3 linked regions of the Nothobranchius furzeri genome follow. The protein of the gene in region 3 interacts with the protein of the main gene of each other region in a biochemical or structural test. Links are inferred from orthologs where the notes say so. Each region holds a gene or a part of one and is shown on either strand. Other genes may lie near its edges.

What was found.
Region 1: the proteins of snta1 (region 3) and rps6ka1 interact in a test that uses a peptide from one of them, tested with the Homo sapiens proteins (2 studies listed by BioGRID and IntAct, with this or other methods). The link is inferred for Nothobranchius furzeri from reciprocal best matches to the Homo sapiens genes SNTA1 and RPS6KA1.
Region 2: the proteins of snta1 (region 3) and microtubule-associated protein 4 interact in a test that uses a peptide from one of them, tested with the Homo sapiens proteins (2 studies listed by BioGRID and IntAct). The link is inferred for Nothobranchius furzeri from reciprocal best matches to the Homo sapiens genes SNTA1 and MAP4.

What each region holds. Positions count from the first base shown.
Region 1 is NC_091758.1:28,123,271-28,128,053, reverse strand, and holds part of rps6ka1 (ribosomal protein S6 kinase alpha-1), read left to right. Parts: intron 1-193; coding exon 194-274; intron 275-395; coding exon 396-475; intron 476-890; coding exon 891-997; intron 998-1,075; coding exon 1,076-1,113; intron 1,114-1,414; coding exon 1,415-1,557; intron 1,558-3,032; coding exon 3,033-3,103; intron 3,104-3,175; coding exon 3,176-3,264; intron 3,265-3,342; coding exon 3,343-3,407; intron 3,408-3,523; coding exon 3,524-3,626; intron 3,627-3,725; coding exon 3,726-3,856; intron 3,857-4,072; coding exon 4,073-4,198; intron 4,199-4,783. UniProt on the Homo sapiens protein: Serine/threonine-protein kinase that acts downstream of ERK (MAPK1/ERK2 and MAPK3/ERK1) signaling and mediates mitogenic and stress-induced activation of the transcription factors CREB1, ETV1/ER81 and NR4A1/NUR77, regulates translation through RPS6 and EIF4B phosphorylation, and mediates cellular proliferation, survival, and differentiation by modulating mTOR signaling and repressing pro-apoptotic function of BAD and DAPK1.
Region 2 is NC_091751.1:59,304,609-59,309,391, reverse strand, and holds part of microtubule-associated protein 4, read left to right. Parts: intron 1-2,256; coding exon 2,257-2,612; intron 2,613-3,150; coding exon 3,151-3,342; intron 3,343-4,783. UniProt on the Homo sapiens protein: Non-neuronal microtubule-associated protein. Promotes microtubule assembly.
Region 3 is NC_091743.1:60,373,649-60,379,018, forward strand, and holds the start of snta1 (alpha-1-syntrophin), read left to right. Parts: upstream 1-2,206; 5' UTR 2,207-2,254; coding exon 2,255-2,537; intron 2,538-5,370. UniProt on the Homo sapiens protein: Adapter protein that binds to and probably organizes the subcellular localization of a variety of membrane proteins. May link various receptors to the actin cytoskeleton and the extracellular matrix via the dystrophin glycoprotein complex.

The DNA of each region.
Region 1 (4,783 bases), on a different chromosome or scaffold from region 3:
TTCTGCAACTTTAAAAGAAGTTATCTAAACTTTTCATAGCGTATTTCTGAGTTCTGTTGATTTTCTTAATTGGAAATGGGTTCTTTTTAAAAGAATAAAAGAAACAAACCATCTTCTCTTGTATTTTCTTTTCAAATAACACAGATGAAGAATTTATAGAAAAATGCATTGACTTTTTACTCTTGTCCTTCAGTCAGAGACCGCGTGAGGACCAAGATGGAGAGAAACATCCTTGCAGACGTCAACCACCCATTTGTTGTCAAGCTGCACTACGGTGAGCCAGCTCGCTGTATTAAAATCACTTAAACAGAGATAATAATATTACTGTTTGAGTTTTAACGTTAAGATCTGAGCTGTGCATGCTTGATGATTTATATTTGAATATTCATCTGTAGCATTCCAGACTGAAGGGAAGTTATACTTGATCTTGGATTTTCTCAGAGGTGGAGATCTTTTCACACGGCTCTCTAAAGAGGTAAAGGGGAATCCCTAAAAGCACAGTCTGTAATATATTTACTTATTTACTATAAAATTGTCCTTTTTTATTAATATTTCTCATCAATATCTGTTTTATTTATTCCTATTAGCGTAAAATTTTACATTTTTACATACATAAGCTGTAGTTGACCCTCCATTGTCAAGCGCCATCTTGAAATACAGGAGCTCCTTACGGACATAAAAGATATAATGCTCTGCATTTCACGTTTGCGCTTTGGCATGGCCTTTTTGATGTGTGTGGGCTACCGTAGATGCAATACCTACCCTGAACTGCGTTTCGCTAAAGAGTTGAATTGTTTTTACTGACTGGGGCTTTAAATTAAAAAATGAACCATCTATTTTGTCTGATCTGTTTGGTACAACTTTTTATCACTTGTATGATTTACTCCTAGGTGATGTTCACAGAAGAGGATGTGAAGTTTTATCTGGCCGAGCTGGCTTTAGGACTGGACCATCTCCACAGCCTGGGCATCATTTACAGAGACCTCAAACCTGAAAAGTAAAAACACGTTTTCCCACTAAAGCAGAAATTTTCTCCACTACAGATTAAATGAATATACAGTTTGGTCTTTCACAGCATTCTCCTGGATGAGGAGGGTCATATCAAACTCACAGGTGAGTCTACTGTTCTCACACACACACACTCTTAAATCTCCTCTGCCCCGTTGACCTTCATTACTCATCGCTCCATGACAGCTTTATCTTTCTGACTGCACATATCTCCATACAGGCCCAGTGCTTGTTCCCTCACATTAATTATTACTCTTTATCTTATCTCCATTACGAGCCTTTGATCCCAAGGTGACCCTCTGGAAGTTCAGACATGAAATACCCATGATGAAGTGCTTCTGTTGTTTAACGCAACACGCGTATGTTGATATTGTGGGACTGAGCTTTGTGTTTCTGTTCCGCGCAGATTTTGGTTTGTGCAAAGAAGCCATCGACCATGAAAAGAAAGCGTACTCCTTCTGTGGTACTGTAGAGTACATGGCTCCGGAGGTGGTGAACAGGCAGGGTCACATTCACAGCGCCGACTGGTGGTCGTTTGGAGTACTGATGGTGAGAAGAATTTATTATTTCAAGTTGTTCGTTTTAGGGACGCTCCGATTCGTTTTTTGGAAGGATCGGAATCAGGAGAAATAAATTGGATAAAACAACAAACATGACTTTTTAATTTCATCCTGAGATAGAGATTTTCAAACTGAATAAAAATGGTTTTGTTTTCATTTCAATAAGTCCCTCTATATCAATATTTGTTTCTTGTACGAAAACAACACAGTAACGTCACACAATTTATGGCAGGCAAGGACTCGGACACCAAGCAAGCTAACGTGTCCCCTCAGGAGAGCTAAAATATCTGCAGCTTGGCGTTAGTTTAAACCAGACAGCCAAGGCAGAGCTACAGACACTTGTCATGTGTGCATACTGAGCGTTCAACATGCTGGTAAGGACAGCTCCATGGTTCGCTGCCTTCAAACAAGCTACTTTTGCTGTTAGCTTTTGCCTTTGGGCATCAACAAAGCAAATCACTGGTCGCCATTAATCCCCAGTTTGCCTCTAACACAGTTCTCAGTGAAGTCAGACCAAAACACGGAGCCAGCTGACAGAGAAAGTTACGCTAATAAACAAAGAAATTGTCAACAGACTGCAAAACATCGGGGTTTCTAGTAGAGTTGTGAATCTTAGAGCAACTCACGATTTGATTCGATTGCGATTCTTGGGGTGCCGATTCGATTCAGAATCGATTCTCGGTTCTCAATTTAAATCGATTCACAATCAGTATTAACTAAGAGTGTCAGCTCCAGGGTGAACTACTTTGATGTACAAGTTAGTTAAAGCTATGGGACATTTTTATCTGACTTCAAACTGGTCATGCTCCAAAAATGTAAAAGTGATTCTAAAACTGTAAACAGAAGCAATCTTTTGACCAAAAGGCAACATTTATTTTTGCTTACCTTGTAAAATATAACAAATCTGTAGTTACCTAACAGTAGCTTTGAAAGTAATACGGTCAAATACTATGTGTAGAAACAAGTTACATGAGTAATCCTGAGTACTCATTTATCAACTTAGAAATTTGAGATATTCTCATATTTATTTTCTGAGTATGGAAAAAATTACATTCAAGTGCCCTCTTATCAGCAGATTCAAACATAAATCATCTCAATTTATGGGACCACAAAAGTAAACGGAGTACTGACTCTCCTAACAAAGATCAAAAAAGTGCATCTCAAACCTGTAACATGCCAAATATTTGAGTTCTTGGAATCGATTCTGAATCTTTATAAATAAGAATCCTGATTCAGACCTGAATCGATTTTTTTCAGCACCTCTAGTTTCTAGTTCTCCTGCAGCACCGGTGCTCAATACGCCCCGTCAAGTTTTTAATCCGTGTACTTCCTAAAAAAAATGAAAGTGAAACTTAAAGGACAGTTTGGGTGTTTTCTTCCTACTTTAATGCTTTCTTGACCCCCCCCCCCCCCCATCCCTAGTTCATTTAGTTCTTTAAATAACTGAAGTTCTCTCTCCGTTAGTTTGAGATGCTGACAGGAGCACTTCCGTTTCAAGGGAAGGACCGAAAAGAAACTATGAACCTGATTTTAAAGTAAGTAAAAACACTGGAATAAAAGAAACATGATGGTGGCCATATTGAAATCTTTGCTCTGTCTAAACACAGGGCGCGCTTAGGAATGCCTCAGTTCCTGAGTGTCGAGGCCCAGTCGCTGCTCAGGGCTTTGTTCAAGAGGAACCCTGTCAACAGACTGGGTCGGTGTCAACTCTTTAAGTAATGATTTAAACAGTTTTACAAAAAAGATTCAACAACGCAAAATATCATCCATGTAGGATCGGGAGCTGATGGTGCAGAGGAGATCAAACGCCACGGTTTTTTCTCCACTATAGACTGGAACGTGAGTTTCTGGTTTCAATTTTATTTGTGATCATTTTTTAAATAAAAGGATCTGTTGAAAATTTAAAACATCTTTTTTTACATTTTTTAGTAAAAGTTGGTTCATTTTGCTTTCAGAAACTCTTCAGAAGGGAAGTAAAACCCCCGTTCAGGCCAGCTGTAGCACGTCCAGATGACACCTTTTACTTCGACTCCGAGTTCACATCCCGCACACCGAAAGGTCAGAGGTCAAAGTGCTGTAAACAGTAGATTATTTTCTCTCTATAGCTTTTCTTTCATTAGACTGATGTTTTTTTTTTTTTTTTTTTTGTTCTTTAAGACTCTCCTGGCGTGCCTCCCAGTGCTGGAGCTCATCAGCTATTCAGAGGATTCAGCTTTGTTGCATCAAATCTGTTGGATGAAGAAGGTTTAGTGGAGCCAGTGCAGCCCACACCACACCCCGTGGTCCAGGTCCGCTGTTAATCACACGTGATACATGTCTGTGTCAATATAAGCTCAAAAGGTTATAGCAGCCCACAAGTACCAGTATTTTCCTGCCTGATGTAGATTTAGAGACACCAGAGAGGAAGTGCTCCCACAGATAAATCCAGCGTCACCGTCATCCGCCCTCGTCAGCCTGTCACTCCTCCGCCTCTCTTCAAACTTTCATCTCCCTTTTTTCCGCAGCAGCTTCATGGAAAGAACCTTCTGTTCAATGACGGGTACATACTCAAGGAGGACATAGGCATGGGCTCCTTCTCTGTCTGTAAGCGATGTGTCCACAAAACCACCAACACCGAGTATGCTGTCAAGGTATGAATAGACCCGAGGAAAGCCTGTCACGTACAGAAAAGAGCAGTGAAATTTCAGCAAAGAGCTTGTAAGGCTTTGTTTTGTACTTTCAAGTTTTGGCTTATTACTTTAAGACCAAGTTCACTTGTTTTTTCAGCACATCTGCAGTGGTCTATAGTATAAATAAATGCCTTATGAGTCGATCTCTGTGGAGGAAAAACCCTCTGGTGCTCATGTTTCAGGAAGTAGAAGTTAGCCAGAGGATTGAGGAGCAGAACACGGCAGGATTTGAAGTCTTCTATCCCTGATGTCAGGGCGTCTTACCTCTGATTGGCTAACAGCAACGCAACTCTACCACTGACTCTTTTTGCTTTGCAAAGTTGATGTTTTATCTCCACAAATAACACAAGCCTGGAGGAGTTTTGCCATGTTATGGAATTGCTGATGCTAACTGTTAGCTCCTACTAGCCGAGACGTGCTCTACTCTCTCCTGGATGCTAAAGCTGGGCGGACACTGTACGACTTTTTCACTCGTAGTACTCAGCTTCAGCTCAAACTGTACGACTTCCTCGCAGAGCAGATCTCACGAGTCATGTGCTCACACTG
Region 2 (4,783 bases), on a different chromosome or scaffold from region 3:
TCGGCTCTCTTTGCAATGGCGGCGCTGTAAACAACAGCGGCGGCCTGACCAATCACAAGCTTGCGTAATCCGTCTCGTTTGACGGATGTTTAAAAAAGTGGGCTCGACTCCGTACGTACTTGCATGCCTGCCGGAGCCCTACGCAAGGACGGATAATGGCGTTGCATGTCTCCGCACTGACGCAGACGGAGAAGCATAAATCAGGCTTTAGCGGTTGTAGTCCTGTAGTCCATAAATCAACAATTTTTGGAGAAAAAATTTTTGAATTTCCAAAGGAAATGTGAAATAAAAGCAAACGATAAACGGTGACCATCAAAAGCTCTTGATGTTGATGAAATGGGGCAAAATAAAATATAAGAATTTTATTAAAAGACACCAAGCAACATTTTGAATCAAAGAATGTATTTACACAACTAAGGAAATACACAGACGAACTCCACATTAATACAAACAGATGTGGCTTCACGTATAAGAACTGTTGTCTTTTTTTGTCAGTCCGATGTTGGTTTTATGCAGTTTCACATTCTTTACAAAACAAAGATAATATGGTGTTTTATTAACAAATTACAATTATAAAGAAAACATGTAGGTGTTAACAAACAAGAATTTATTAACAAAACTGCTGATGTTTTTCCAAAACGTATGTGTGAAAGCCGAGTAGATTCGCAGTACAGTGACGTCATCAGCGGGCGCTGGACCCCGAGCCGATCTGGCACCCGAGCAGATCCTGTTCATCTGATAAAGGACTTCTCGCTTTCTTCAGTGGATCTGCCATTGCCCAGTTCTCTGAACCACGGGTCTCCCACAGACATGTAGACGTAGACGCCCCATGGACTGGCGCTGCCATAGTGGCCAGCCGCCATTTTCGATGGGTCTCCATTCGCCACGAGTGCATTGATTTCTCCTGAGAAAGGTGCTTACCCAACTATTTTATCAAGCTTTTTCACAAAATCAGACACAAGGTATGCCATGATAATTCAAATATAAATATAATATTAAAAATGTATTTAAATATAAAATCCTATCAGGTAGGCTAGAAAACTCACTAGTAATCCCACGTGATCTGTTTTCAGTTGTACGCCGGTTGTTGTAACTGTAGGCTGCATAAAAACGGGCATAGTTGCTCACTTTGCTTTGACTTTGGAGAGTGAGGAGACCCATCCAACATGGCTGTTACGTTCTCCAATGCCCAATTAGGTGTCTACATATTCATGTCTACGGAGTGTATGTTTGCGCAGTCAGTACTTCTGGCGGTGGACCGCTAGTCAAACACTGTATATTGCGGTAAACAGACGTGGGACCTCATAGCACTATCACAGCTCTGAAAATGAATATAGTAGATATCCCACCAAAACCTTTAAGTGTAAAAGTTGTGAAATGTGTCTTTAATCCATTTTTAGTGGTCTAGTGTATAAAATGTTTCCTGGATGGGAAAAAAATACTCTGGTGCTCCTGTTTCAGGAGCTAAAAGTGAGCCAGAGCAAAGGTGAACAGAACATAGCAATACTTTTCTATTTGACGTGCAATCGACTGGCTTTTGTAGTCCAAGTGTTACCCTGTCAATTTTCTGTCGCGGCTGTTGTGGAATTTTTAATGAAGCAAAATGAAAGCAGTCTATGATTCTATCAAAAATTTAGTTTCAATATTGCAATATCAAAAATGAGGAAACTGTCCAGAGATTCTTCCCAAAGCAGCCCCAGGAGTGCCTCCTCCCAGCAGGGAGTTCACACTGTGTTTATACTCTTGCTGCCATTCCTTCTTGAACCCCCAAAGAGAGAGAGCAAAAATTTGTCTTACAGTGTTGTCTATTAGAGGAAGGGGTGAACGTCTTAGAAAAGGGGGCTGCATCCAAGGGAAAATGAGCAACACACATACCCCACCCGCAGCCATGCCGTGGCCGAGCCATCGTGAGACAGAACGTTTAAAGCGGTCGCAACACCCACCTTCTCTGACCCCACATATACAATTGTTTTTAAAAAATAAGTAGAAGGATCGAATTTTCTCCCCTTTTGATTATTCATGTACATGGCTAATGTCAGAAATAAGGGTAGAATACTATTTTCTCATTTAGCCTGCATGTGAAACTTTCAAAAATAACAAGCAAAAACGATTTCTCAGTGAACTTTGTCTTTAAAAAAACATGTTCCTAGTCATTCAATAAAACACGATCTTACTAAATAATCAATCTCGGATTTTCCTTCCACATATCAAATGTTGTTAAAATACTCATAGACATTTACCATGTCTCTCTGGCAGTGAAATCCGACAACAAGGACAAGCAGGAGAAGGCAGACATAACGTCTGGCAAGGTAGACAAGATCGACACCTCTGACAAGAAAGAAGAGCAGCAGAAGAAAGAGACTAACACCGACGTAAATAAGACACCCGAGAACATCCTCAAAAAGGAAGAAAAGGTGGAGAAGATAAACGACAAGGAGAAAACCGATAAGCCGGAGAAAGTGGACAAGCCGGAGAAGACGAACAAAGACGAGAAGGAGGAGAAGGAGGAGAAGAAGGTGGCCGAGAAGGACGATAAGGGGGGAAAAGGTACAGCCAAGTCTCCTACAGGCAACGGCAGCAAGACTCTGCCAAGTCCTGACAGCAAGGGCAAGGTCAGTGTGTCTGAATCACACACACACACACACACACACACACACACACACACACAGTGCTCTCAGCACACCCATCCTACATTCAGTGGTTACAGAAATGGTTTAATCACTCCAAGGCTTCTACAACAGTAATACTTTTGTATTTATATAGTAAAGGTTCATGGACACCTTTTGCATTTCTTTTTGTGCTGATTTAGTGTTTTTGCTGGATCTTCTCTAGCGTGTGAATTGAACCTTACTTCCTGTCCATGTTTGAGTTGCAAACTGCTTCTCTCTTTTTTTATTTGATACTTTTGTGACTTACTTCTCATTAGCTCTCTACTCTGAAGTGATCATTAAATGTGTTCATTTATGACCTGTTGTATGATTGCCATACGTTTGCAGGTGTTGCGGCCATATCATGCTGTCATTGCTGTGATTTCATTGCTGCTTTTTTCTCTCTTTTCCTCCTCCTTCGTCTTTTGTTTTCCTTCTCTTTTTGATTATTTCCCATTAATTATTGCTGTTATGGCTTGTTTTACTTTCATTCATCAACCAGCCCGATGTGGGTTCAACCAAAACAAACGCAGCCAAATCGCGTCCATCCAACCTCTCCACCAATAATGAGGCCAACTCGGCCAAACGCCCCTCCCCCACTACAGCCAATAAAAAAAGTCCTGCACCCAAGGCAACTACTCCTACTGCTGCCAAGCGGCTGCCAGCAGCAGCTGCGTCCAACAAGGCTGCCAAGGTGAGTTTACAACACAGTTGTTCTATTGTGTGGAAACAGGAAGTTCAGACAGTCTCATTCTGTGAAGACTTGAACAAAATCCAATCCTATGAATGTCCTTGTTGGGACACAGTTTTGCATTTTCTAAATGCTTTGGTGCACGTTTTAGGAATTCTCAGGTCTCAGGTGTTGGCCATCAGACTATAGAGAAAAAAGCCTCAGGTTTGATTCAGAAACCCATCAAAATTCTGACTAAGCAGTGTCAGGATCAAGGTTCTAGATCAAGGTCAAGATCCTGGTTCTGGTCTATAGGGCCCTATATGGACAAGCACCATCTTACATTGGTGATCTTCTTAGTCCCTACACCCCCAGCAGGTCCCTGAGGTCCAGTGATCAAAGCCTACTGGTTGTGCCATGAAGAAGCTACAACGACGTTCTGCTGAGCTGTGGTGGCCTCATAGAGGGGGCCATCGACTAGCACACTGCTGCTAACCACTTAAACATTCTCCCTCTCCTGATAATAACACTTTACTTTTCTTGACATTGGATGTGCTACTGCTAGTTTATCCGTTTAATTATAGATTCACGAGGAAAAATACAAATGAAGTTTATCTTTCACCAAATAGAATATTTACTAAGACATCACAATATAACTATAGACGCATTACTAGTCTTTGTGAGTGTGCGTGAGTGTGCGTGTGTGTGCGTGCGCGTGTGTGTGTGTGTGTGTGTGTGTGTGTGTGTGTGTGTGTGTGTGTGTGTGTGTGTGTGTGTGTGTGTGTGTGTGTGTGTGTGTGTGTGTGTGTGTGTGTGTGTGTGTGTGTGTGTGTGTCTGCTCTGTCTTCTCGATCCCCAGTGAGTCGTGGTGGATGGCTGCTTATACTGAGTCGGGATTCTCTGGAGGTTTCTTCCTGTTAAAAGGGAGTTTTCCTCTCCACTGTCGCTTTATGTTTGCTTAGTATGAGGATTGCTGTATAGTCACTGACACTAGTCAGTGACTTGATGCAATTTGCTGGGTTCCTTATATAGGAAAAATTATTTCTGATTGGCCTAATGAACTGACCTGAATTGGAATGTTTATTATGTGAAGTGCCTTGAGACGACTCTTGTCGTGATTTGGCGCTATATAAATAAACTTGAATTGAATTGAATTGAATTGTGCAACACCAGGCTAAAGACCAAAGGTGACAGATCATTTGCTGCTGTGGCCTCCAGACTCTGGAACTCTCTCCCCCTGAGCCTGAGATCGGTGGACTCAGTGGTCTCCTTCAAAAAGCAGCTGAAGACTCACTTGTTCAAGCTGGCTTTTGTATGACCTTCTTCACCACTCTCTCTTTATTCTGCTCTCCCCACCTATTCCACCTTCCTCAGGATCCACTGATTTCCCTCTTTCCTGTTCACTTTCTGTCTTTCTTAACATTTTTTATCACAATTGTCTATTTTTGCTCATTTTAAATATATT
Region 3 (5,370 bases):
AACTTCCTCTAATGCGGAGACTAACTACCGTAAAAAGTGTAGTAAGTGCTCCCTAAGGAAAACACCCAAAAGTGCTAACACCAGCAATAACAATGTACTTTTTAACTTATCAACTTACTGAGCATGACTTGTACTTGATTGTCAACAAGAATCTTCTGGTGCTAATTCGTAACTGGCAACAGCCATGAAAATCACGGAATGGGAGTGAGAGAGTAATATTTTAGTTTTAAAAAATCCACTGTAGTAACCACAGGATGTCAGTCTTAAAAATTGCACCTGAAAGGCTGAAATGGGGTGTGAAATCAGACATCATATACATTGATGCTCCGTGGACTGGAACTGCCGTAGCGGCCACCACCATCTTGGATGGGTCTCCATTCGACCCCGGTGCATTTAATACTGAGGAATGCATTTATCCAACTACAAAAAACACATTTAACTATGCTTTTATTTTTTATTTACAAAATCAGACATATTGCATGGTATGATAGCTAAAATATAAATATAATAAAATAAAGCTCTACCTCTACACATTCATATCTATGTGTGAAATATCAATTTATAGTCTTTTCCTGGAAAATGCTAAAAAGAAATAAAAATCTAGTGAAAAAACAATTTAAATTTGTGTTTAAGGAAAAAAATATTGAATATTTTATAGCTATATTCATTTATATTAGCATTAAAAAAGAGCATTAATCAACTGTTCTGCTCTTTATTAGTATGGATATTATCTCATTACACTCACATTGTGTCTTAGGTTTTCTCAGCCTATGGCCCCATCAAAGTAAACAAAACAAAAAACTCCATCATTACCAGACACGTGTATTGAAATGATGATAAAACATTTGCTAATATCAACATGAACAATGCAATTCTCCTTTTTACATTTGGCTTAGATATGCAAACATTTTATGTGCCTTAATGGCATTTTGACCTTATTACTGTGATGCATCCGATGCCCTGACAGATTAAATTGATTTATCCCTTAATAACATCACAGTATGTGTTGTTATAAGAATATGCAATAAAATATCAGGGGTAACAGCATTCTAATTTTAACTTTAATCCGACATTCTCACTGCTCATTCTCTCTTTTGAAGAAAATACAATATCATTCAAGGGTTTTGTGTTATAGTGTTTTGAAGAATCTAAAATTTGATTTATGCATACATTCGGCTGTTTTGATGTAACAAACCAATCCACCCACTAGGGAGCGACAGAAGACTGATAAAGTTAAACCTGTAGCAGCATGTGAGAAATTCACCAATTTCGGTGGTAAATGTTTATTTCCAGAGCAGAAACCTGAATCCACTGTAATAGGACAAATAATTAAAATGTGTGCACGCCAGCTTAATCAGCTGTTTTGGTTTGGTAAAGATGTGCTAAGAAACAGTAAACTCAACAGCCCACCCAGAAGTATTCGCTAAAACTGGATGCTGGAACTTTTTTGCTGTTCCACCTGCTGTGAGACAGATGAACTCGTGCTGCCTGCCACACACACAGCCGAAGAGCTGGGAGATTAGTTTGCAAATCAAAAGAGTAGCAAAAACACACGGTTCCATCAGCTTGCAGCATTGAGTCATTTATGTTGTCATGTGTGTCCCTGTGCTGAATCACAATGAGTGGGCAAGACAAACGTCTATCAAAAGTTAATAGTTTATAAGACCAAACAGCTGCAACCCCAAACACATCTTATTAAAAACCATGATTTTGCTTCAATAATAAACACAAAACATGAGTGTGTTGATGATAAATAGTGTCTGTACTCATTGTCTTCTGTGGGGTCAGCACTCCTACTGAATTGCTCCAATATGAGTTTTTATTCCCCCTCAAACATTTAAAGCAACAGATGTTTAAATGTAAACAAAGACAGAGCGTGTGTACTTTTAATTCGCTATGACGGCAAACCTTGATGTGTACAAACTTTCTGGATTGTTTAATCAGAGATTCCGTGTATCAGCTCCAAACTGATTTCATTTTCTTTCTGGAGGAAAACTGAATAAATCAATAAAAAAATAAACAGATACAATAAATAACAGTTTTTAATGACTCAACCACACTCTGTTCATATAGGCTGATCTTTGAGTGTGTAGAACAGATAACTTTATTTGCCACTGAATGAAGGAATAGAAAGCAAAGACCGCGCGCGCGCCAGTGTGTGTGTGCCTCCGCGCGCGTGCCCCCTACCCCAGCCCCCCTCTACAGGACAGCCAGCCCGTCTAGAGTTATTCCAGGAATGTGTTGAACACTGAACATGGCCGCCGCGATGAAGGCGCAGAAAACGGGACTCCTGGAACTTCGGTTGAGCGTGGACCGCTGGGTCCGGGTGTTGGCGACACTTACCGAGGACACACTCACCGTCAACCCCGGAGAAGGCGTCGAGGAGCCCGCGAAGCCGGCTCCGAGTCCCGCAGGTGCTGTCAACGGAGACCCCCCGAACCTCAGCTCGTCCTCGGTCCCGGAAACCATCACCAACGTGAAGCGCACCGTTCGCATTACCAAGCAAGATGTGGGAGGACTGGGAATTAGTATCAAAGGTAAACTATCTTCCTGTGGTTACACTAATAATATGAAGTACTATTTAGGTGAGTTAGGCTTCATAGTTTTGCACAGTTAACTATCATCAAAAAGTATCAAAGTATCAAAAACAGCAATTAAATGTAACTTTTGAAAGTTTTATGGTCAGAATGTTGCTTTTTTAAGAGCTGCAAGTTAGTTAATCTGCAGTCATTTGTTTATTTATACTCACAAAATAAAAAAAAAATAAAAAAGACAGCTGTGACTTTTTTCCAGTTTTGCAGAAGTGGCTGTACCCTGTTAGGCTGGATGGGACTTCACCACCAACCTGATTAAATTCCCAAACAGTTTTTATAATAAAAGAAAGTAAACTTTACGTATTCACAGATAGACATGCTTATTTAACTCCTATATTAATGAGAGAAACTTGAATATTTTTGACACAAAATTACACTAAAAAGGTTTTCTGATGATGAGGCAGAAAAACAAGAAACAAAACGAGCAGAAATGCACCAATTCTGATTTTGTGAACCAATACAGATTTCTGATGTTGTACATGTGATCAGGCGATACTTATTTTGGCAGATTTAGATTTCTCAAAGTACTATAATTACCAGATTTACTATTATTATTTAAAATGATTAACATGAAATATATAATTAAAAAAAAATCACTCCACATGGAAGATCTGGTTTTTCTTGAGTGAATTAATGCTTACCCGGGTTTTTCACCAGATGCGTAAGCGGCACATAACGTAATGGATGCGTGTTCCCTGCGCCTCTTCCCACCAGGAGCATTTCAAACTGACAGCAAAAGTGTTTCACACAGCTGGTCCCACAAGGTCAAGAAGGCAACAGAGAATTGTAAGACCACGCATGATTTCAGCAGTTCACGTGATAACAAGCAAAGAAAAAAAGATGTCAGCTTGTATCCAAAAGGTCTGCGGTTTATTTTCTGATTGCCTTTACCTTGGCCAGTGGCCACACAGGTTTCACAGGTAATGATGTATTTCTTTTAAGCAAGTGGAATTCTGTATGAGTCTTTTATTTTGAAAGTTTCCTGTTTTTTACATGGCTTTCATGTTTGACTTCCTGTCTGGCCTGATCTGAAATGTTGAACTTGACAAAAAGTAGACCCAAAGCATAAATCTAGCAAAGAGACGAGACACAACGCTTCTGTAACGCTTTCAAGGCGTGTCGCTTTGTCGCCGGTGGAAGCAAAGTAGCTTGTGCTTTTCGGATTTTACGCAAAACTTGCGCATTTGGTGGAAAACCGAGGTTTGTGTTTGTGCATTTATGGGCTGGAAAAATGTTTAGATTTTGCAACCTTTGTTCCAAAAAATGAATCAGTCTCTTCTTGAGTTTCAGATTAGCTGATCACAAATTAAGCTGGTATCACTGAGTAGCTGTTGACCGATACTGACGATTGTTTTAGTGCATATCTTAAACAAGGGTATGTACTGTATATCTGAAAGGCCATTGTAATAAACAGTAATCCAAATACCGTCCAAAACTGAAAATTGACTTTTTGCTTGGTTGTAATAAAAAAAGTAAGTTGACTTGCTGGACATGCAAATTGATGCTATTTAAACTAAAACATGAACAAAAAATAAAATAAAGTGAATTAGAATATTCTCTCACCCCTCCCCTCGACTACAGTCCCTGTAAAAAAAAAAAAAAAAAAAAAAAAAAAACTACCGCCCCTGTGCCACGTCTGCCATAACTAGAAATCCACACTCCCGGAAGAAAAAAGAGTGTCGCAGTTTTTTAGGTCCAAACGTCTTTAGTTGTCCATGAGTTCAAATGGTGTGTATCTTTTTGGGACTCTGGTAGTTTGTTTATGTTTATGTTTATTTAGTTAGCAGACGCTTTTATCCAAAGCGACTTACAATTTATAACCTGTAGGGCATGTTGTGATCTGTGGGAGAAACCGGAGTACCCAGAGGAAACCCACACATGCATGGGGAGAACACGCAACTCCATGCAGAACGGCCGCAACCGAGTTTTGAACCTGCAACCTTCATGCTGCGAGGCAACAGTGCTAACAACTGTGCCACCATGCAGCCCAGTTTGTTCTAAAGTTGAAGTGGTATGCCAGACAATGCCCGCACTGCCTGCTCACCACAGCCATGGAATACACCCCATCAACACACAACACTATATTGGAGCCGGCGGAGGGAGGCTAGGGGTCTAAGCACACCTTTGTTGTTGCTTGGCTTCCTGGGGCTGGAGGCTAGGAAGGAGATCTGGGCGTCCGGTTGGGGTCTGGGGTGGTGGGTTGCTGTGCTCAGCATTGGGCGGGGGAACCTGCTCATCAGTACCCCAGCAGAAAGGGTCAAACTCTGGTAACCGGTAATGGTTGTACCCAATGTGCAGCAGTACCAGGACCAGAGTGAATAGTGTGTGTATGGGGAGCATGAGTGGGTGTCCGGCGTGCATTTTTGTAAGTCTTTGGTTGTATGTGCATGTGTGAGCATGAGGGAGGGAGTGTGTGACTGTGTTTGTGTATGACTGTATATGTCAGGTGGGGCCTTTGACTCCTCTGTTCTCCTGCGACTTCTTTTTATGATATAGATCTTCGTCTCCCCTCCCCCTGCCACACCTGGTGTGGGGTGTGGTGCCTTGGTCTGCCTGAGTGTTCGTGGCTGCCGGGTCAGGGGGTTTAAGATCTTTGGCATCTGCCTGGTCAATCCCGGTGGCTGCCTGGTGGGGTCTGGGTCCCTGGGCTCTGCTGGGTCCCCGGCGGGGGTGGTCGCCCCTGGGTCCCGGGTCGCTGGGTCCCAGGCTTGGCCGGCTAGGGGGTGGGAGGCTGCGGGCGGGCCTGTGGGCTTGCCGCTGAGATCTCCAGGGGCTC